2 linked regions of the Caenorhabditis elegans genome follow. The protein of the gene in region 1 purifies or fractionates together with the protein of each later gene. This does not show direct contact. Each region holds a gene or a part of one and is shown in the gene's direction. Other genes may lie near its edges. The genes, in order: vgln-1 and aak-2.

Region 1 (10,981 bases):
GAAATTGCTCAAAAATGAATTTTTGCAGACTAGACTAGATTTCAATTCCTAGGAAAAGGCGAAAATTCTGGAAGTTTTGTTTTAAATATATATTTCTGAAAACAATTTTTTACCAGAAACAACATTTTTCGCCCAAAATTTAAAAAAAAAGTTCGTTTTTTCAGACATATTGTTCATAATTTATGGATTTTCTAAAACATTTTGAAACATGAAATTTTCAAAACTTGTTTTGTGTTTAAGGTTTATCTCCTGATTACGGTACTTTTCTGACAAGAATTGAGGTTTCAACTTAAATTATAATTCTATGCAAATTTTAGTTTATTTTAGATTATTTTTAAAATTTTGTTTTAAATAATATTGCACCTTTGGTTTCTTGATTTTTCGCTTCATGTTGATTCAATTCTACGTCATCATCTTCTTCCTCATCCTTTTTAGTTCGTTTCCGTTCTTTTTCCCATTTCCGAACTGCTCGTTTCTTCTGAACAACTTGTCGTTTACGTGTTCCGTAGTTGAGCTTTTCCGAGCATTTTGGGCATAATCTCGCCTTCACCAGCGTACTTTTGACCCGATTGTCTTCCTTGTAAGTGAAGTTAACCTAAGATACTTTTATTTATTATTATAGAAATCTTTAAGGAAAATCTCACCTCCCAACTAGATAAATGAGCAGTTTCATTACATTTTCTTGCTCCACACGATAGTTGTCCTTTTCCTTCTTTTACTTCATTTTCAGTTCGCCATCGCATACCTATTTTGTTCGTTTTGTACATGGAGAGATCAACTATGCAATACTCTGAAATAAACAAACATTAATTTAGAATCATTAATCTCATATTTTACCTTTAAATAATTTATCGTAATATTTCTTCGCCATTCTCGTTTCCCATGAATTTTTATCAGGTTGTGAAGCGTTAATTTCATCGTCCTCACTCCAAACAAATCTGTGATGCTTTTTAAGGACATCCAGGTCAGTTGTTTCGTCTTGAATTTTCCGATTTAACAATTTCGTAGCTCCCGGGTATGAAAGATAATATAAATTGATCATTTCCTTATGTCGATCATACGCGTTCATAGACATCATTTTTGCCATTCTTCTATGCATTCTTCCGTGCTCTTCTTCAAAACCACCTCGTCCATCAGTCTTTCGCTTTTTCAGAATTTCACTCGAATAATCTTTATTCAAAAAATCTCCTTTTCTCTTCGGTTTAGAGCTACTTGAAGGCTCATCTCCAAAATCTGATTGTAAATCGTCAATTCCATGGTATGGGTTTCGAATTTTACGGGGATCCATTGAATATTTAACTGAAAAAACTTAAATTAATGCAAATGATATGTTTATAGCATTTTTGGTAATTATTTTCAATAATTTCCTAAATTAAAACGCCAAAAACATGTTTTAACCAATTAAAACACAAAAAACAAGTTTTAAAAAATTGACACAGCTGAAACGAGTGTTACCGTACCCCGACGCGTCTCCGAACCAGTTGCCACACTGCAAGTTCGTTTGCTCTGAAAAAACTTGTTTCTGGATATTTTTTTTGCATTTTTGCGATAATTTTAGATTTTATTTTTAAAATTCGTTATGATTATTCGGAATATCTGTGCATTGAAACCTTGTTTTAGGTCCCTTAGTCGTTGCGTCGTGAGTTTGAAAACCGTTTTTTCGATAGACATATTTTGTAGGCTTCTCCTTTCTAAAAAATCATTTTTTATCTTGTTTCACGCTATATGTTCTTTCTGAGAAAATCATAGTTAGAAACATGACAAAAAATTTATCCTGCGATGCGAATTAATTCTCGGTAAATGTCTAGGTTTTTCCCAATTTAAATTTGTCTTCTATGAATAAATTAATTGAAATCTAGGAGTATTAAATAAATGAGATTCCCGCGAGGAAACTTTTTTCAAACTCTAATCCTCAGTTGCCATGTTTGCAGTTTGTGACCCTCTCGTTTTCATTATTATTTTTATGATTGTTCTTGCCATACAACTCAACTCAGTCTATCACTGCCATCTTATCAGTAGTAGCCCGACATTTTTGTGGCTCGTTTTTCTATCTAACTGGTGTCCATCAATTGAATGTCAATAAGTTTTAAGGTGCAATTACGTGTATCTATCACTCAAAATTGGGTACATGATCCCTATCGCAGGCTAGTGGCGGTGCTAGCTGCGGCTGATTTTATCTATTTCATTTGAGGTGGATGGAAAAAGAAGATAGTTGATGGAACGGCCCTGACCTAGCAACTATAATCATCCTTCTTGCATTTCCCGATTAGCAATTTGTCAGATTTCTTATTTCTTAATAGTTGTTTCTTTCGCTCCTTCATTTAGTTCAAGTTTCTTTTTTTAGCGTTATTTTACAAAAATTATGAATAGCGTTCAATTCTGATTTCTTTCTGGTTTTAATAACCCTTTTCCGAATTCCTTAATGTTTTTGCCACACTTCTCGAGACGCTAGTGAAACTAGGGAACTTTAAAAAAAAAGAGCGGCACAAGACCAGCACCGCCACGTTGTCCATCGTTCAAGAAATGCAAGAGACGCAGAGAAAGAGTGTTCTACGTTCCAACGGGGAACTATGCGAGGAGGAACTATCCTACTGCCATCTTTACTGTGTAGTTGGCCGATTTGTGTATACGTGGTGTTTGCCCTGCGAGAGAGAGAAAGAGAGAGTCTGATCGTAATACGATTCGGCCCTGACCTATTGGGCTAAATTCATACCACTGCTTAGGATTTTCGACTTCGGTTTTCGAATATACCTTGCCTTTCAATGACAAAAATAATTTCGTGAATCATACCTTCTAGCTGTTCAGAACTCCTTTTGAAAAATACACGTCGACTTGCCTCTTCTTTAATAATACTAAAATAATAATTCTTAATTGTGGTCAGATTTCGATTCGTAAGCCTCGCAAAATTTCAATTTATCTTTTCCAATTCTCCTTTCTTCCTCTATCTTTTTTGCTCCATATGACTTTGAACAAATAGTTATCTTCTTTTTTGTAGGTATTGTTTGATTCGGACGGTTCTCGAGCCTAGTTCGGTCAACATCACAGGTCGCCTCAACAGACTCCCCCGATCGGATTAATTGCCTTGCGCACGGACCCCCGGACACGGATCAGCCAACCCTTCTGACAACACGAATTATGGACAACGGACATATTGGTTGGTTAAAATTAAAAAAATATATCTTCAAGTTTTTTTGTTTCAGAAGAGACTAATAATGTCGAAATCGACCCAGCCACTGGCGGAGCTGTCATGAGCTTCAGCTATGCTTCAGATTTCCCAACCCTTCCTGACGCTGCCCCTGCATCTGCTCCAACCGCCAAACAGACTCACGTCTGGTCTCGCCCGACTCTCTCGAAATCTGAAGTTAACATCACTTTCCGTTTGGCCTCGGACGAGCGTTCCAACAAGGTGAAGAGCTTTGGAAGCACGTCAGAAGAATCAAAGAAAGCCCAGGCTATTGCCACTGCTACTAGTGAGTTTTCCCAATTCCAACGAAAATCTAATCATCTCCGCTTTCAGAGACCAGAATTGAACTCAGTGAGTCAAAGGACGGAGAACTCACTGTCGTGGTGAAGGGAGAGCGCGCAAAGGCTGAAGAAGCTCGTGCTCGCATCATCCGCGATCTCCAAACCCAGGCATCTCGTGAAATCGATATCCCAAAAGATCATCACGGACGTCTCATTGGAAAGGAGGGAGCTCTTCTCAGAAATCTCGAGGCAGAAACTAATTGTAGAATTCAAATCCCAAATCGCGATGGACCATCGTCGAAGATCACTATCACTGGACCACGCGAGGGAATTCAACGTGCTGCTGCTCACATTTTGGCCGTTTCTGAGCGCGAAGCCAAACTCGCCACAGAGCATATCGTCTGCCCAAAAAATTTGGTTGCATTTGTTCGTGGCCCAAAAAATGAGACATATGATCGCCTTACTCAAAACAATGGTGTCAAAATTAACATTCCACCACCACACGTAACGAACGAAGTTATTTCGGTAACCGGAGAAAAGGATGGAGTTCTACGTGTTGCTGCTGAAATTCGCCAGATCATCGAGTCGAAGAAAAATGTTTCGAGCATTCAAGTTGCAGTTGCTCGCACCCAACATCGTTACATTGTTGGACAATCTCGAAGCGGAATTCATGATGTTCTTCAGAAAACAGGATGCGTTGTTGAAGTACCAGCAGAAGATTCGGGATCTGACCAAGTCACACTTATCGGAAACGCTCAAGATCTTGCCAAGGCTCTGGCTCTTGTCATTGAGCGTGCTTCATCTGTGGTCACCCAATCTATTTCTGCTCCAAACTGGCTCCACAAGCATTTGATCGGACCAAAAGGAGCAACTCTTACCGCTCTCGTGCCAAACCGCAATAACGTGCAGATCGAATTTGATAACTCTAACCAGATTTTCCTCGAGGGATCTCCAGAAGAAGTTAAGCTAGCTTTCGAGCCACTCAGCAAGGAAGTTGCTCGTCTTCAAATGGAGCTCGCTATCGAGAAAGTCAAAGTTCATCCAACACTTCATCGTCATGTTATTGGACGTGGTGGATCACTCATCTCAAAAATCAAGGATCAACATGGTGTTCAGATTACTATCCCTAACGAGGAAACCAACTCTGACGAGATTGTTGTTGAAGGAAAGAAGGAAGGTGTGAAGAAGGCTGTTACCGAAATTCGGGCAATTGTCACAAAGATTGAGAACGAAAAGTCGCGTGATATCATCATTCCACAACGTCTCCACAAGCTTATTATTGGATCGAAAGGCTCCGGAGTTCAAGTCATTCGCGATTCTCATCCAAATGTATCGGTTGTGTTCCCTGATGCCAAGTCGAAGTCTGACGTTGTTAACATCCGTGGAGACAAGACTGAGGTTGATGCTGTCTACAAGAAGCTCACCGCTCTTTCTAAGGAATATGTAAGTTGAAAACACATTATTAGACGATTTTAATGAATTTTCATTTCAGGCTGAGAACAACTACCAACAAACTGTTGCAATCTTCAAAGAGTTTTTGAAGCATATTGTCGGAAAGGGAGGAGCCAGCATTCGCAAGCTTCGTGACGAAACCGAGACCCGCATTGATCTCCCAGAGAGTGGATCTGACGATGGAAAAATCACTGTCACTGGAAAGCAAGCCAATGTGGAGAAAGCGGTCGCTCAGCTGAACAAAATTCAAGAGGAACTCGCCAACGTTGCTGAAGAAAGTATTGAAATTCCACAGAAAGTCCAATCTCGATTCTTTGGAAATGGACGTCGTTTGATCTCGGACATTGAGGACGAGTGCGGTGGAGTTCATATTCGTTTCCCATCAGAGAAAAGCGAATCAACCAAAGTTACCATCCGTGGACCTGCTGGAGATGTTGCAAAGGCTGTTGGACTTCTTTCTGCTCTTGCAAAGGACAAAGAAGAAAATTATGTTGAAGATACCGTCAAGGCTAAGCCAGAGTTTCATCGTTTCCTCATTGGAAAAGGTGGATCCAAGATTGCCAAACTCCGTGACACCCTCAACGTCAGAGTTATGTTCCCGAAGGAAGGAGATGCTGAGAAGGAGACGATCCATTTGCTCGGAAAGAAAGAAGACGTGCCAAAGGCTAAGGCTGCTCTTGAAGACGCTATCAAGCAACTTTCAGAGACTGTTGACATCAAGATTACTGTAGATCCAAAATACTACAAAAACTTCCTCGCCCGTGGAGCTGCACTCGTTAAGGAGATCCAGGAACAGAACGGTGGAGTAGTCATTTCATTCCCAAAGAATGGAACTGACAGCAGTGAAGTTTCTATCCGTGGATCGAAGCAATGTGTTGAGGCTGCGAAGAACCGTATTGAAGATGTCGTTGAGGACTACGAGAAACAGATCACAGACAATGTCACCATCCCAGCTCAGTTCCATCGGGGACTTCTTGCCGGACGCGGAGCAAAGATCCACGAGCTCCAGTCAAAGTACAATGTCTCCATTAGATTCCCCAACAATCGCGAGGAAGGCTCAGAAGGATCCGATCAAGTTACTGTGTCAGGCCGTGACACCAAAGTCGAGGAAGCCAAGGAGGCTCTTCTTGCCATGGTTCCTATCTCGAAAGTCATTCAACTTCCAGTTGACATGCACCGCTCGATTATTGGTCGTGGAGGAGAGACCGTTAGTTTTTTTAGTTTTTGAATCAAAGTTTAATGAGTTAAATGTTTCAGGTTCGCAAGCTTATGCAAGACTATGATGTCAACATCTCTATTCCAAAGGACAACTCCAGCGAGGATATCACCGTGACTGGTCAGACTGAAAATGTCGATCAAGCTCTTGAGGCTCTCCGTGGAAAACTTGGCGAATACGAGGCTCAAGCCGAAGACCGCAAGCTCAAGCAATGGTCAATGTCCATCAATGTTCCAACTGATTATCATCAGAAGATTATTGGACAACGTGGAGCCACCATCACTGCTCTCAAGGAAAAGTACGGTGTTATCATCAATGTACCACGAGAGGATGGAAACGAAACGATTACCATTCAAGGATACGAGGAGAAGGCTAACGAATGCGCCGCTGCCATCGAAGAGATGATTTCTGAGCTGAGATCTATGTTCACTCAAGAAATTAGCCTTGATGCCAGATATCATCCACGTCTTATTGGACAAAGAGGAAAGAACTTGAAAAAGGTCATGGAAGACTATCGTGTCGAAATTCGTCTTCCACGTCAAGGAGCAGAAGATCCAAACTTGGTTGTCGTTGCAGGAAAAGATGAAAATGACGTGTATGATTGTATCGATCATTTGCGCGCTGAGGAAGAGGAGTTCTTGCTTGACAACGTCGAGAGAGTTAGTTTAGAAATTTGTTTCTGAATTCTTATTTCATTGTTACAGACCCAATACATGTCTCCACGCCAACAAGAGTCGAACAATACCCGTCACCATCAGCAACCAACGTCTGTCCAGATGAAGGGAGCACCATGGCAATTGGATTTGGGAAGCTCTGAGCAATTCCCAGACATGGGACCAGCAGCCGGATCATCTGCTGCCGTCGGAGGAGCCGGTGCTTGGGGATCCTCTCGTCGTTGGTAAAGAACGTTCGAATCTGGATGATTCAACCAACGTCAATAACCATAGTCACCTGCTTTCCTTCTTGTGAATTCCTTAAATCAGCCCCATCACCCCTTAAAAAGTGTATTTATTAGTTTTTTCTTGTTGATATAAATGCCCTCCCATCTACTCTTTTTTGTTTAATATTTATGTCCCCCAACGCGTTACCACCAACAAACTATTGCGGATAATCTAATCAGTCGAATGTGCCTTTCCTCTCCACCCGTTCCAGTCTAGTAATAATTTATTGTTCATGGTTTTCCCCCACTCTTTTCGGGCTTTTATCCTGTTATCCCCACTCTACACGTTTTCGTTTGTTGCTCGTTTTCTTTCTTTTTTTTCCAACTTCTTTACTCGATGTAAACTTCCCCCCAAAAGGTTTTATCCGACCCCAATCCATCCGTTTTCACCACTTGACGTTGGTTTTATCATACATATTTTTTATTATAATTTTCATTATAATAAACTGAATTGGTGTAATCAAAACAATGTATAATGATGTAGGCTAAATGTACATGTGAGAATTCTTGTTATTACCGCTTTCCAACAAATACAGATAGATCCAATATTCATGTTCCTAGAAGCATGGGCGAAGTGCAGCTGGTCCTGGCTGTGACAGCGATCCTAATATCCTTCAAATGTTTGCTGATTCCTGCTTATGTATCTACAGATTTCGAGGTAAATTGGAGTTGAACACTGTTTCCCAAGTACTCCATACAGGTTCATCGTAATTGGATGGCTGTGACGTGGCAACGGCCATTGTGTGAATGGTATACAGAAGCAACATCTGAATGGACACTCGATTATCCTCCGTTTTTCGCATATTTCGAATTGGGTCTTGCGTCTGTTGCGCACTTTTTTGGGTAACAATTGGAATTTTCTCGGGCGAATTTATTCAGTTTTTAGATTCGATGAATGTTTGGTGATATCAAAGACTCCGCGGTTTTCTCGACGAATTTTGATTTTCCAGCGATTTTCAGTAATTTTCTGCGATATTTTGTATGTGAGTTGTTTAAAAATTCAAAAAGTTTGGTAGCTCAAGCCAGACGCGAATTTTCGTGAATTTTGTGCCAATAATACGATATTGGGTCTCGCCACGACCCTGTTTTGTAAAATATAAGCGCCTTTAAAGAGTACTATAATTACAAACTTTTGTTGCTAAGGTATTTTCATCGAATTTTCAAAGTTTTTCCCACAATTTGTTTAAATTTATGTGTTTTTAATTGTTTCACATTAATTTTTCAATAAATAAATATTTTTTTAAATAGCGAAAAACAATTTTTTAAAAATCCTCAGCAACGAAAGTTTGGAACTACAGTACTCTTTAAAGGCGCACGGCCGTTTGCATTTTGCAACCAATTTTCGCGTCAAGAAGGACCGTCACCTTTCCGCAAAAACCCTAAATTTCGTTTCTGAATAATATAATTTATAGAACAAAAAATCTTGACTTCTTTAAATTAAAAAAAAACTATAAATATCAAAAATCTAGAATTATTCAGATTGCTGTCTGCGCTCTATACTCCTTCCGCTCTCCACGTCTAGTCAGCAGAATTCCGAAGAAATTGCAACAAAATGGACGAGAAGCTTGTTTCGTGCTTCTGGCATCATTACAAGCCTTAATTATTTGTGATTCAATTCATTTTCAATACAATTCGATGCTCACTGCGATTTTTTTGATGTCTCTGTTTTTTATCGATACGGAAAGATATCTGATGGTAAGAATATTTAACTTTTAAGATAAAAAATTAAAACTTTCAAACATTTTGTAATAATTGTATTTTTCAGGCAGCACTTTCCTACTCAATTTTGCTGAATTTCAAGCACATCTACGTCTATTACGCCCTCGGATACGTTTTCTACTATTTAGTCAATTATTTTCAATTCTCTGGAAATGTTCTTCTGGCCAATACGCCAAAAGGTTTGACACACGAATAATTTTATATAAGAATCAAAATTGAATATTTTCAGCAATTTCTCTCGCCATTGCTCTGCTCATTCCATTTTGTGCATCAATTTTCCCATTTATCCACGCCTCAGGAGTCCAGGGCCTTCAAAATATTGCCACCCGCCTCTTTCCGGTATCGCGAGGCCTAACACACGCCTACTGGGCGCCTAATTTTTGGGCTCTGTACAATTTCGCAGACTTATGCCTGTATAGAGTTTTAAGTTTGCTCAAGATCGGAAAGTTTGATGCTCCGACATATACGTCTGGTCTGGTTCAGGTGATTTTTTTAAAATTATTTTTTCCCGTAATGTGTACTATTCAGGAATATTCGCACAGTGTCCTACCAAATGTATCACCCATGGGAACACTCTGCCTTGTTGTCATCTCCTCAATGATAGTTCTCACTGGGTTGGTGATTCGTAGGAAAGGCAAGATCCATTCTGATCCTTCTGGCTTTGAAATTATCTTTATTTTCAGATTCTGCCGATTTCTCGTTGTTCGCCGTCTTTTCCGCCTTCTGCTTCTTCTATTTCGGATATCACGTCCACGAAAAGGCGATAATCCTGGTTACGGTACCAATGACCGTATTCGCGATTAAGGTTTAACTTTAAAAAAAAATACAGTAGAAACATGACTACGTTATTTTAAGTTTTCCAGGTTTAAAATTAGACAAAAAGGTTCAGATTTATTAAATGTTTTATAATGTCGAGAAAAATATAATTCTTCTTGTTTCAGAATCCAAAATACCATTCAATTCTGATCCACCTCACATGCATCGCCTCGTTCTCACTATTTCCACTGCTATTCACACCTTTCGAAACACTTCTGAAATATGCGATTTGTGTGTCGTACTTCTTCATACAGCTGGTGTTCCTAAAGTAAAACAAATGTTATCTGAGTTTTCCATCTTTAATAATCAATTTTCAGACGCGTCACACTTATGCCACTTTCGGATTTGATACCTACAAGACACGTTGCAAGCTGGTTACTAATGGGGATGGTGGAGGTGTATAACACATTTTTGCACAAGGTACTTCATGCCTACGTGTCTGCCTAGCGCTTTTTAACAGTAAGCACACACACGGGGCTGGCACGTTTTTTTGTGTCTATCTAGAAGGCTTATGTGGAGAACTATATAGAAAGAACATTGTATATTTTTATAGTTTAATGGAAAATGTAGTTAATTTAATTTAATTTAATTTATTACGTTACTTTTTTTTATTCAAAAAATTTTCCAATTTCAGTGGCTCTGGACGTCTCGCCTTCCATTTGCCCCTCTCATGGCGATATCAATACTCACCGCTATCGAGCTTACCGGACTGATAGGTGCTCTTATCTGGAGCACATTTGGAGATGGAATATTCGAAATTTGGTGGGCAAAAGCCACTTGTCAGATTCGCGAGCGTCTTATCCGCGATTCAACATACTCTGTACAAGCTGTGGAGGACTTGGACGATGTGAAGTTGGTTGCTGGAATTGATACATCGGCGGCTAAACTAAATTCTGATATGGTTTATATTAGTGTCAGTTTTTGGACGTATCCAGATCTTAAACACGTGGCAACCATTTCTGACACCAGGATGCTCGAACTACCGTATATCCCACAATACTTGGCAGTTAGAGAAGCAGAAGTTATGGCTGATTTCCTGAAAAGTGTGATCACAGAGCGTCCAGAGCTCCGACCGGATGTGATTTTGTGTGACGGATTTGGAGAGTTTCATTCAAGAGGTTGTGGAATGGCTTGTCACGTGGGAGCTCTTTCCGGAATTGCCAGCATTGGTGTTGCCAAAAATTTGACTCTTCACCACACTTATGAAACTATTGGCATGGAAAACAAATCGAAAGTTGACAGTTTTGTGGAACATTGCCGAGAGGTAAAATTTATAATTTGATTTAAAACAAATTAAACCTTAAAATTTCAGGTCTATAAAAACAATAAAACATCGCCTGGATTTATCCCATTTGATATCGTTGAGCCGGTGG
Region 2 (12,029 bases), on another chromosome or scaffold:
TCAAAGCTTTAGATGTTGCTCTTCACGGCACGCACAGTCTCATCAATCGCCTTGGCGACATATTCCACGTTTTTCGTGTTAAGACCACAAATGTTGATGCGGCCGTCTCTGAGCAGGAATACTTTGTGATTGGCAATCAGGTGATCCACTTGGGCAGCTGAAAATTAAGATTGTCCTCATCAGAGTGTTAAAAAAAGCAAACTCACAAGTAAGTCCGGTGTAGCTGAACATTCCAATTTGTTGAATGATGTGATCCCAAGTTCCAGGAGTGCCAAGATCCATCAAATGGCGCAATAAGGCGGCTCTCATCTGCTTGATACGAGAAGACATCGCTTGAATAGACTGGTTCCATTGTTCACGGCGAGCTGGGGTGGTGAGCACCTTGTGCACAATTCTTGCTCCATGTGCTGGTGGATTGGACCAGTTGGCACGGATAACCAACGACATTTGAGACTGGAATCCGGCAATGACAGCTGGATTGTTGACGACGACAGTAAGGTTTCCGACACGCTCGTCTGAAATTTTGAAGTATTTTACTTTTCATCTTCTATTCAAAACTTACTGTAAAGTCCAAAGTTCTTGGCAAATGATTGGGACACAACCATCTCCATTCCCTGGTCTACAAAGTAGCGGATCGCCCAGGCGTCCGCAGCTGGATCACCAGATGCGAATCCTTGGTAAGCAATGTCAAAGAAGGTGAAGAGGTTCTTTCTCTTGATCACCTCGGCAACCAACTTCCATTGCTCCTGAGTTGGGTCCATTCCAGTTGGGTTGTGAGCACATCCGTGAAGAATGATGACAGACTTCTCTGGGGCTGACTCAAGATCGGAGAGGAACTTCTCAATGTGCACACGTTTGTTATCATAGTCCCAGAAGGTGTAGTCGGCGACGGTGGTGAAACCAGCCTTCTTGAAGACAAGCTTGTGATTTCCCCTGAAAATGATAAAAATTCATGATTTGATGAATTTCGCCCAGCATTATCAGAGGTTCAGGAAAAGTACCTTACACCTCTTTGAAAGAGCCTTGCTGAAACTCATTTTTTACCTAGATTACCTAGGTTTATGGTAATACTGCCAAGAATTGGGCGGCTATTTTAAGAAGTTGAAGTTCTGGTTGACTGCTACTCACTCTGGCCAATACAAGACTTGTTATATTTTATCAGATAAGTATGTTTGGCTCCGATTTTTCGACCACTTACCATGTTGGGTTGCTCACGTAGACGGTCTTCATGTTACACACTGAAGCAAGAAACTCGGCTCCAGCACGAAGAGCTCCGGTTCCAGAGAGACACTGTACTCCAAACGATCTTTCCTCCTTGATAGCTGGCGATTCGGCTCCGAGGACAAGCTCGGTGGCAGCCTTGCGGAAACCCTCGTGACCGAGAACTGGAAGATACTCGTGATTGAGCGAGGTGTCGTTGGCGATTTCGACTTCAGTCTCATGAACGACTGGAAGCACCCATGGCTGTCCCTCCTCTGTGCGGTAGGCTCCAATTGTCAGGTTAACTTTGACGGGAGCCGTCTCATCGAGGTACATCTTGTTCTTGTGGAACACCTCGATTGGTGGAGCAACTGGGATTCCGTCAAAGAAGGACATGTTGAGTGTTGTTTCTGGAATTAAAAAAAATCAATAAGTTTAGTTATAGAAATTGAAGAGATGAAAAGAGTGGCGGTATGCCGCAAAACGCGATAATGAGGTGTATTTATATAGCGAAAGAGATCAAAATCGAAAAATGACCACGTTAAAAGGAGGTCACCTCATCGACATTCGAGAGGATTTACTTGGAAACAAAAAACGTTTTAGGTGTTTCCAATAAAAATCGATTTGATGATAAAAATTATTATACGATAAGAAACGTAAAACTTTCTACTTTCTTATTTTAGCACTCAAGAAATCAACAGAAACGTGTGTTGATAAGACTACGGGCCCAGTTTCAAGACTGAACTAGATGGTTACTTTCTATTGCACCAAAGTCGACAGTTCACAACAAAAGTTACAGGAAATTTTGCCTAGTTTTCGGACAAATTGAGGAAAGGGGGTCTCAAAAACGGACTGCCTCTTCTCGACAACTCTTTCTCGTCGGCCCGCCCTCCAATAAGCACACACTATTTCCGAGAAAACAACACATGCGGGTAGAAAACGAGAGGCAGCGTTGTTGTTTGCCAGAGACGTTTTTCGAGACGTGACCATTTTGAAAATTTTTATTTCGAGGAAAACGTGATGGCAAGGTGGAGAGAACGGGCAAAACGCAGCGCAATGAGATCGAAATGTGTCATTTGTGAGGGTTTCAAAGTGTTCTTTGATAAGGCAAATTACTTTTTTGAAAATTGAAAAAAAAGATTGGATATTTATCTAGGTTAATGTAATAAGATCCTAGGAATAAATGAAATTATATCAAAATTCCCTCACCAAAAATGAAAAACTATTTTTTTTTTTGAAATTTTCTAGTGGAAGTTTTCTTCTGTTTTTGCCTATAGAAAAACCTTGAAAGAGCTGATTTTTTCAAAATCCCTTTACAAAAGGAATCAAGGTTAACCTATACAACTACCTCGTGAACTTCAAAGATTCAAAAACCAAACGACCACTTCAAAAATTATTGGCAAAATGACCTTTTGAAATGAGTGATGGTGCGAAACCGCCTAGATAAATAAATATAACAATCTCACGTGGCCAGGCGGAAAAACATGTTTATGTAAATTTTCGAAACGAAAAATAATCGGTTTTCTTTTTGGGGTGATGATGGCGGGACATGATGAAAAGAAATGGAACAGTATACACGAGAAAATCCAAGTTGCTGGGTATTTAGAAATATGGATGAGAACTAAACAACATTCCGCCCGGTAAACGCCTTTGAATGAATGAGAAGTAAAAATGAAAAAAAATCACAGAAAAATATTCACCGTAATGAGAATTTGCATACAAGATTTCCGGTAGAAAGAAGGGTGAGAGAAGAGGTAAAGAAAAAGGCGATAAGAGGCGCCTCCGGGCCGCCTTAAAGCCTCAATTCTACGTGGCGAAGTTCTCAACAAAGTTTTGTAAAATTTACGACAACTAAAAATTTTTTCAGCACATTCTGATTTATTATTTTAGTCACCGACTTTAATGGGTGGCCTTTAATGATTTTGAAGTTAATTTGAAAATTTTTAAAATCAATAAAGATGAACATGGACATGGATTTTTCACAAAACTAACAATTAAGAGGCAACAAAAACAAACATAATGATAGTTGTTAGAAAAATGGAAATTGAACAAAAATTTCAAAAACAAAGAAAGCAAGTCAACAAGTGTCTAACGAAGAAGTAAACTTTTCTCATCACTTGGACGCCGAGTGTGCTCAAAACCATTGTGCTCCGAAATATGACACTTTTCAACTCGTCCCATCGTTCAAAGTTATTATTCCCTCTCATTTTTTTTCCCGCGCTCTCGTTGGCTCTCGTATCATGAGCTCTCGTTGACAAGTAACTTTTAAGTTTCAAAATTTATCTATAGTTGTTAAAGTATAATGTTTTCCTAGAAGCTGTAAGCTTGGCAGGTGACTTTCCCTGCGGGAATTGCGAAAAAAATAGAGACTGAATAAAACGCATATACTGTTTCATATTGTCTGGCACGTGCCTTGTGGCAGGAGGTATACCAATACACTGCCCCGTTCTGATCCGATTACTTTGACAAAAGTCGCCGAGTCTGATACTCACAAACAGTAGCGTCAAGTGAGGAGGGCTCACTTTACCAGAATTTATTATGAATGTTTCTGGTATCATCACATTGTTTCAACTTTCCACGCGCTGTTACATTGCGTTTTGAATCGATTTTTTGGTATTCTGCCAAATATAGCTTCAGTGCGTTGCACTCGAGCATCTGAACATATTTGCTTTTTGTTTGGCGAGAGGAAGGAAAAAGCACTGAAAAGTGCTTAAAAATCGTTTTGAAATAAGGATTAGTAACTGGATTAGAGCTAGAGCATTAAGTGATATTAGGCAATTTTTGTTATTTCTAAAAATATGGAACTATGCGGGTGGAATTTTTTGTTCACATGAACGTGTCAAAAAAATTGTTAATGTTCATACCCTCATTTACATTTCCACTTTTATGGCATTTTGGAAAAAGATGGCTATATTCGCCCTGTTAGTTTTAGAAAACCTTTTCCACTAGATATTGAAATTTCGAAGTGAAGTTTTCGCTTTCATCAAACATTCTTCGAGAGCTAGCTTCAATTGTTCTCCTTCATTTTTTCTATTGCTTTATGTTGCATTGAATAGCTAAAAAAAAATTCAAAAAGCTATCCCTTCAAAAAAAGAAAATTCGCTGCTTCTCGACGTGAAAAACAATGAAAAAAGTGTTCGGTGAGTACTTGTTCTATTTACACAGCAAACCTTTTTAGCAGCCGAGCTGTTAGAAAAACCAAAAAACGCCACCAAAATATGCTTATTCACATTTTCCGTCATCACCATCGCCGCCGATTTCTGCGCATGACAAAGTGGCTTTTCTCTCTTTTTTTGGATTTCAAGGTCTAACATTGCCGTTCTAATGCCCGTTTTTTAGGTTACATTTCAAAATAACCGACTATTTTCAGAAATGTTTTCTCATCAAGATCGAGACCGCGATAGGAAGGAGGACGGTGGTGGAGACGGTACTGAGATGAAATCCAAGAGTCGGAGTCAGCCAAGTGGACTTAATCGCGTGAAAAATCTTTCAAGAAAGCTATCGGCAAAGTCAAGGTTAGTTTTTGAGGGGTTTTCGGGGGGTCAAGGGAAGTCAAAAACCGCAATTCTAAAATTTTGCGATGGGTAGCCACAGAAGGGATGTTCTTTTCATTTGAAAATGTGAAAAAGATTAATTTTTTTTAAAACCACACTGATGAGTTTAGTGAAAAAATTAAACATGCTTCTAGCGCCTCAGCTAATCAACTCAGATTTTCCGTACAAATTACTTTAGTATTACGAAATATTGAAAAATTCATCGGCCCTCAGCAAATTAGATTCCAATTCGGGAAAATACTGAATTTTCCCTGAATTCCGTGTTTTGTCTGTGTGAATTAAAGATTGTTCACATTTAAAATAACGTACCAAGGTTTTTTTTTGAAAACTTTCTAGATCACTAGTTTTTGAAAGACTAAATATTAATTTTCAGCAACTTTTTGTAAACGCCCATTACGATTAGCAAAACAGAAAAAGATAACAGCAAAAATGTTCAATGCAAAAACAAAAGAAAAGAGACTGGAGCCTTAATGCAAAACGAACAATGTGGGGGCCCTTCCCGAATAAGTGAGCCGCGCGGAACGCTGCCGCCCTCCACTAAACAACGCGCGGTACGATACTCCGTTCATCGGACCAACTTCCCCCCTCTTTACCTAGTTGGCAACATTTTCTTCGTATTCTCACGGATTCTCCTCATTCATTCCGCTTTCAAACCCAATTTCCGTGCATTTAGCATTGGAAAAACACGTGCCGCAACGTATCCGAAAATAGTGTGAGACGCAGACGGCTGGCGCCCCGCGTGAGGCGACCAAAAGGCTTTTCTTCTTTTTGTCCTCCGTTGAAAATCATGGTAAATTGAGTGATCTCGTTTGCGTATTTGTGTGTATGAGAGAGTGTGAGTGTGTGTGTGTGTGTGTGTGGACACGCCAAAGCTTGATGGAGTCACATGTATATCATGAAAAACACAAACAGATACCACACCAACGAATCTTGAACCTTGAGTTCTTCCGCCAGTGTTCATTTTTAACATCTCTTCATCGTTCTGCAAGGAGACCTGTCAAAATTTCCAACAAAAAAAAGAGTTTCCCATAAATTAGGAAAATTCTGATAGGTTCGGAAGTTTTCCGTGAAGTAACTGAATATATTTTCAATGATCACGAGAAGGCAATTGAATAAATGTTAGTTGGAAAATTTTTATTGAGCTTCTAGATTTTGTTGTCTAATATTTGAGCCTCAAACTTTTAATATAGGTTATTATTTTTTATTGCAGCCGACAATTTTTTGTGGCAATTTATATACAAAAGCATAAATATCTGAGATGCTTAGTTTCATAGAAATTCAGTTCAAGAGGCTTCACCGTATAATATAATATATTCTTGCTGAAACTACAGGAAAATTTAGTGGGAACTTGTGAAATTTGAAAGCTCCCAGATTCGATTTTGTCATTCTTTTATGCAATGCAAAAATTATTTTTAAAAAACTGTTTTCGACATTTTCTCATGATTTGTGAAAAAGTTTTTTTCTCAAATAGAAGTTAAGCTCATTTTTCTAAATAGTTTTTCTAAACCCTGGATTGTCTCAAATCCGCTGTAGAAAAGTTGAAGCGACTGACATCTTATGAGCTAAATTTTTCCTGAGTTTTTGAAATAGACTACATCTTGATAATTGAACATTACAGTTTGACAAAATTTATAAAAATATTGATCAGTTGGATTTTATTATTTTTCTGTTGTTTTGTTCTAGCTCCAGTAGGGTGGATATTTTTCAAAAATCTCAAATTTTTGTGCAACTTCTATTAGTACAAATATAAAAATATTTCAAACGTGCACTTTTTGAACATGGACATACGTTAAATTTCCAATATAAAGGGCAAACTTTCAGCTGAGTTAGGAGAATATGAGCAGCTGTTAATCACATAAATCTAACAAAAAAACCACATGTTCCAACTTAAAATTGATTTCAAAATTTTGTGGCCAAAATGAAACCCTACGATGTCAGCCGAGTTTACTTTTTCAAAGTGCAGTTAGAAAAATTGTCTCAATTTTTTATCAGTGGAAACGTTTTTGGTAGTCTCACTAATTTTAAAGTTTAACTCGTTTTAGTAGAAGTCATTTAAAAAATTCAAAAATTGCGGTGTAACAGTTCTTTTAATACTTTTTCAAATGCCATAAATCGTCTGTAATTAATTTTCTACCAACTTGACAATTTCAATTAGTAAAATCACAGTTTTAATGCATAACTTTTTGATGCTAGTCGTATCAAATTGTGATTATTGTTGTTATCTTCACCACTTATATTACGAGTGTATCAAATTTCGATGACACAATACGGCTATTATTCATTGAGCGCTTGTGTTTTCTCTATCGTCTCCACTGTCTGACCTTCGATGATGTTTTTCTACATGTTTTTTTGTTCTCTCAAAATAGATGTTTCAGTTCCTCCAACCTTTTGAAAATCTGTAATTGGTGTTGATTTTGGAACCTTTCCTATTGTCTCTTCTACCATTCATATCCGGCACATTTATGTCAAAACACTGACTGCACCTGCTGTTTTTGAAATTTAGTGTCTGGTGTCTGGGCGGCAGTCATAAGACCTGATGGGCATACGGTTTTCCTAGAGACTCCTACTGCAATGGTCATTCTGTGATAAGAAGTTGCTTTTTTGTTTATCCATTCAAAATTACCATCCAAAAACCACACCAGTTATCAATTTTTAAGTCTTTGAGACCCGTAAAATCAATCAATCATGTCCACATTGCACTTTTGCCTGTAGAAAAACGCGATTTTCGGTTTTCAATCTTATCTCATTTCTGGTTTTCGTTCCCATTTGACTACTTGTTGTCAATTTTTTAGGTTAGGTCTAAATAAATATTAAAGATTTTTTAAAAATTTAAATGAAAGTTCAATTTCTTCTTTCTATTTTTTTGTTCCTACCTACCAACGCTGTTTGCGCCGGAGGACGATAGACATAAGGAAACGAACACACGGGATGCCTTTCCCTTCTATTTTTCTCCTCTTTTTCTCTATCTCTCGCCATTGCTTTGTGCTGTATGGTCAACTCTCGTTGTCTTCGCTGTGCGTGTGTGTTTGTCTGTTGTTAGAAAACGAGGAAAATTGTGAGAAAGAGTGAGCGAGGAAGATCGAGAGAGAAGAGTGTGCGTGTGAGAGGTGTAGGGGTCGCGAGAGTGTGCGGGAGGTTGGCGGACCTTTTACCACATTTTCGGCCAAAGGAAAAAAGGCATCGATCTTTGTTGGTTGTAGTTCTAGACATTTTTTGTTTCTGCTATGTTCTCAAAACACCAAAACTTGTTCTTAGATTTCTGATCTTTGAAAAATACATGCTCTTTATACACTTGTTTTTCTCGTTGTTTTGCTATTTGCAGGAGGTTCCTCGTGACTGTATTTATTGATTTTTTAACTGAACAATTATTCTGAGGAACTTGTGAATTCGAGATTTTACTTACGATCATTTACCTACCAACAACGTACGTTTTCAGAAAGGAACGCAAGGACCGCGATAGCACAGACAACAGTTCGAAAATGTCGTCTCCAGGAGGAGAAACGTCGACGAAGCAGCAACAAGAGCTCAAAGCTCAAATCAAAATCGGACATTACATTCTCAAGGAGACACTCGGAGTTGGTACTTTTGGTAAAGTAAAAGGTAAGCTACAACACCTTAAAATTCAACCAAACCGGAAAGTTAGAAACTTTTTCATTTGCTGCAACTTCCTGGCAACACCATAAGCTGCCAAATTGTTGCAAAAATTTTGTCCCAATCTGCCAAATACTGACATATTTATCTTTCTTTTCTGTTCATCTAGTTTTCACATTTTCAGTTGGAATCCATGAGACAACTCAATACAAAGTGGCTGTCAAGATTCTGAACCGTCAGAAGATCAAGTCACTGGATGTCGTTGGAAAGATTCGCCGCGAAATCCAAAACCTCTCGCTCTTCCGCCATCCGCATATCATCCGCCTCTACCAAGTCATCAGTACACCTTCTGACATTTTCATGATTATGGAGCACGTTTCCGGCGGGGAGCTCTTTGACTACATTGTTAAGCACGGACGGCTGAAGACCGCAGAAGCTCGTCGCTTCTTTCAACAAATCATTTCCGGCGTTGACTACTGTCATCGTCATATGGTTGTCCATAGAGATTTGAAGCCAGAGAATTTGTTGCTCGATGAGCAGAACAATGTGAAGATTGCGGACTTTGGACTTTCAAATATTATGACGGATGGTGACTTCTTACGCACCAGCTGCGGATCGCCAAATTATGCTGCCCCTGAGGTTATTAGCGGAAAGTGAGTGATTATGGTGGTCTCCTGATCATGGTTCAATGTAAAATAAAAACCAAATTAGAACTGAATAACAAAACATGAAACATGTGTTCGCAAACACCAAGACGACATTTTGCACTAGTAGAAATCCAATTAAAGTAATTGAACAAGATTAGACACAACAACTTTGTTTTGCAGGTTGTACGCAGGTCCCGAAGTTGATGTATGGTCGTGTGGAGTCATTTTGTATGCACTTCTTTGTGGAACCCTGCCATTTGATGATGAGCACGTGCCAAGTCTTTTCAGAAAAATTAAATGTACGTTAGTGTGACATGAGAATCAAAACACAAAAATGGCAAAGGATTACGACAACATACCAATTTCATTTAGACATATGAAAGCGAAATGGGATTTGAAAATTGAAATATCCCTATTACAAAAGGCACTATTACTATGTTTTGGCGCACTGCCCGGGTGATAAATGTTTGAAATTTAAATTGGAATCATTAAAAATTATAACGTTCACGAAATATGTTTTTTAGCTGGCGTATTCCCAACTCCAGACTTTCTGGAGCGCCCAATTGTAAATCTGCTTCACCATATGCTCTGCGTAGACCCGATGAAGAGGGCCACCATCAAGGACGTCATGTAAGTGGTCTTCTAAAAAGAAAAAAAAAACAAACATCGTTGCTATGAGACGCCAAGGAAACAAGACAATAACTGCTTTATATTTTCAGTGCTCACGAGTGGTTCCAGAAGGATTTGCCGAACTACTTGTTCCCACCAATCAACGAGAGTGAGGCTTCCATTGTTGATATTGAGGCTGTCCGAGAGGTCACTGAGGTATTAATCGTGTTCGATAGGAGCAGAAGTTTCTAATCACAATGAAAAGTTTCAGCGCTATCATGTCGCCGAAGAGGAAGTCACCTCAGCATTGCTGGGAGATGATCCACATCACCATTTGTCGATTGCATATAACTTGATTGTTGATAACAAGAGAATTGCCGATGAGACTGCCAAGTTGTCAATTGAGGAGTTTTATCAAGTGACGCCGAATAAGGGACCTGGACCAGTTCATCGCCATCCAGAGCGCATTGCAGGTAGGAGAGGGTGCATAGAAAAACTCTTGGTGGCAAAGAATAATAAAACTTTTGCATCGAACATGAAATTCGTAAAACAATATCTAAATCTTCAATTTCAGCGTCAGTCAGCAGCAAGATCACACCAACTCTCGACAACACGGAAGCCAGTGGCGCGAACCGCAACAAACGTGCCAAGTGGCATCTGGGTATCCGATCCCAAAGTCGTCCGGAAGACATCATGTTCGAGGTGTTCCGTGCGATGAAGCAGCTGGACATGGAGTGGAAGGTGCTCAACCCATATCATGTGATTGTTCGTCGCAAGCCTGATGCACCCGCTGCCGACCCGCCAAAGATGTCGTTGCAGTTGTACCAAGTGGATCAGAGAAGTTACTTGTTGGATTTCAAGAGTTTGGCCGACGAGGAGTCTGGATGTAAGGGTTTTCTTTGTTTAGATTGAACTTTTTGAAAGTGGAACCTGTTTAAAATATTTAGTTAATCGTTCTAGAAAATACTAGAAAATACAAGTTAGTGCATTTTTTTAAACTAAAATCACAATTTGAATTTGAAAAGCCGTAGAATAATATTTTGCAATGGTCTCTGAACATGCCCCTCTATAACCTAAGTTTCTGCATGTAGTCTAGCTTAACGTGTCACAATAATTTTGTTCAGAAATGTTTAAAACGAAGTTTGCTTTGCAGTTGGAAAAATAAAAAGGTCAATGGAAATTCTTTTTCAATAGCGTCAAGTCTTCTCAAGACGATTTTTTTTGTATGCATTTTTTCCTAATGGGTCAAATGAATATATAATTTCCACCTCAACCAATATTCATTAAAAATTTCAGCCGCCAGTGCATCTTCATCCCGACACGCATCAATGTCTATGCCGCAGAAGCCGGCCGGAATTCGTGGAACTAGAACGTCAAGCATGCCACAGGCGATGAGTATGGAGGCGAGTATTGAGAAAATGGAAGTGCATGATTTTTCGGACATGTCGGTGAGAATTAATATTTTTCTTTTATTTCAATATTTTTATTGTGAAGTATTACAAATAACTGGAATTGTATTTGGAGTGGTTGATATAGTTATAGGTTTTTTAAAAATCTTCGAGTGACAAGAAGTTGATGCCACTACCTTTAAATAATTAACGCACTAATTTTCAATGACCGAGTATTTTCAGTGCGATGTGACACCACCACCATCTCCTGGAGGAGCTAAGCTTTCCCAGACTATGCAATTCTTTGAGATTTGCGCCGCATTGATTGGAACACTGGCTCGTTAAGCACTCCTTGATGCCAACAATGCTCTGTGTAAAATTCAACTTTTCTGTCTCAAAATTTATTTCTTCCATTCCTTGTATTAAGCTTGAAACCCCCGTTTCTTATATTGGTTCACTTTGTTGCAGCTTACAGTATCTTTGTATTTTTTTTCTTGACTCTGTTTGGTTTTGCCCCTCCCCCCTTCACCTCCGTAAATGCCACGTATTTTAATTGATGCTATTCTAGTGCCGCTTTCATTTTCAGCCAATTTTGACAAGTAACCATACAAATAATTATTTAAAGTTATGACTTGACTTGTCACCCCCTTTGTTTCTGTGAATAGATTTTCCTTCAGCGAGTGATTGTTTCTGTTTTTTATATGTTTCTCTTCAGTAGTTTTTTTTTCTGTCTTTTAAACTCCCCTTCTCCTACTTCTTTGTGTCTATTGTAAGTAAAATATTAATTGAATAATTTCCTACCCAAAATTATTCAATTATTCTCATGTAAATTTTTATTTTAAGACACAACATTGCAATGGTAACTTTAAAACAAGAAAAAACAAATTCAGAAAGATCCAGACGCAATTTTCTTTGCCTTCTCAGCCTTCTTCTTTTTGTACAGAGAGTAGTTATGTTCGGCACTCATGTAGGCAGTTTCCAAGAAAAGGAACACAAATTCGCAACAGGTAAGGAAGGATATTCCGCACCAAAGACCGAGT

The links.
Region 2: the proteins of vgln-1 (region 1) and aak-2 fractionate together in Caenorhabditis elegans (co-fractionation; one large-scale study listed by BioGRID). This does not show direct contact.

Annotation. Positions count from the first base shown.
Region 1 is NC_003280.10:9,883,096-9,894,076, reverse strand, and holds vgln-1 (K Homology domain-containing protein), read left to right. Parts: upstream 1-2,995; 5' UTR 2,996-3,135; coding exon 3,136-3,154; intron 3,155-3,200; coding exon 3,201-3,470; intron 3,471-3,517; coding exon 3,518-4,908; intron 4,909-4,957; coding exon 4,958-6,124; intron 6,125-6,174; coding exon 6,175-6,792; intron 6,793-6,837; coding exon 6,838-7,035; 3' UTR 7,036-7,533; downstream 7,534-10,981. Other genes in the region: C08H9.16 (Protein FRA10AC1 homolog), read right to left, coding at 364-595, 645-790, 838-1,288; algn-8 (Dolichyl pyrophosphate Glc1Man9GlcNAc2 alpha-1,3-glucosyltransferase), read left to right, coding at 7,639-7,731, 7,774-7,916, 7,960-8,056, 8,553-8,768, 8,839-8,971, 9,022-9,275, 9,321-9,426, 9,476-9,597 and 4 more.
Region 2 is NC_003284.9:16,791,517-16,803,545, forward strand, and holds aak-2 (5'-AMP-activated protein kinase catalytic subunit alpha-2), read left to right. Parts: upstream 1-4,572; coding exon 4,573-4,715; intron 4,716-5,598; exon of another isoform or gene 5,599-5,658; intron 5,659-8,190; coding exon 8,191-8,354; intron 8,355-8,529; coding exon 8,530-8,998; intron 8,999-9,172; coding exon 9,173-9,291; intron 9,292-9,516; coding exon 9,517-9,622; intron 9,623-9,711; coding exon 9,712-9,817; intron 9,818-9,866; coding exon 9,867-10,074; intron 10,075-10,175; coding exon 10,176-10,487; intron 10,488-10,897; coding exon 10,898-11,049; intron 11,050-11,232; coding exon 11,233-11,334; 3' UTR 11,335-11,875; downstream 11,876-12,029. Other genes in the region: got-1.2 (Aspartate aminotransferase, cytoplasmic), read right to left, coding at 9-157, 207-515, 563-933, 1,199-1,596; Degenerin mec-4, read right to left, coding at 11,876-12,029. UniProt on the Caenorhabditis elegans protein: Acts as a sensor that couples lifespan to information about energy levels and insulin-like signals. Role in motility and response to oxidative stress. Involved in the establishment of germline stem cell (GSC) quiescence during dauer development.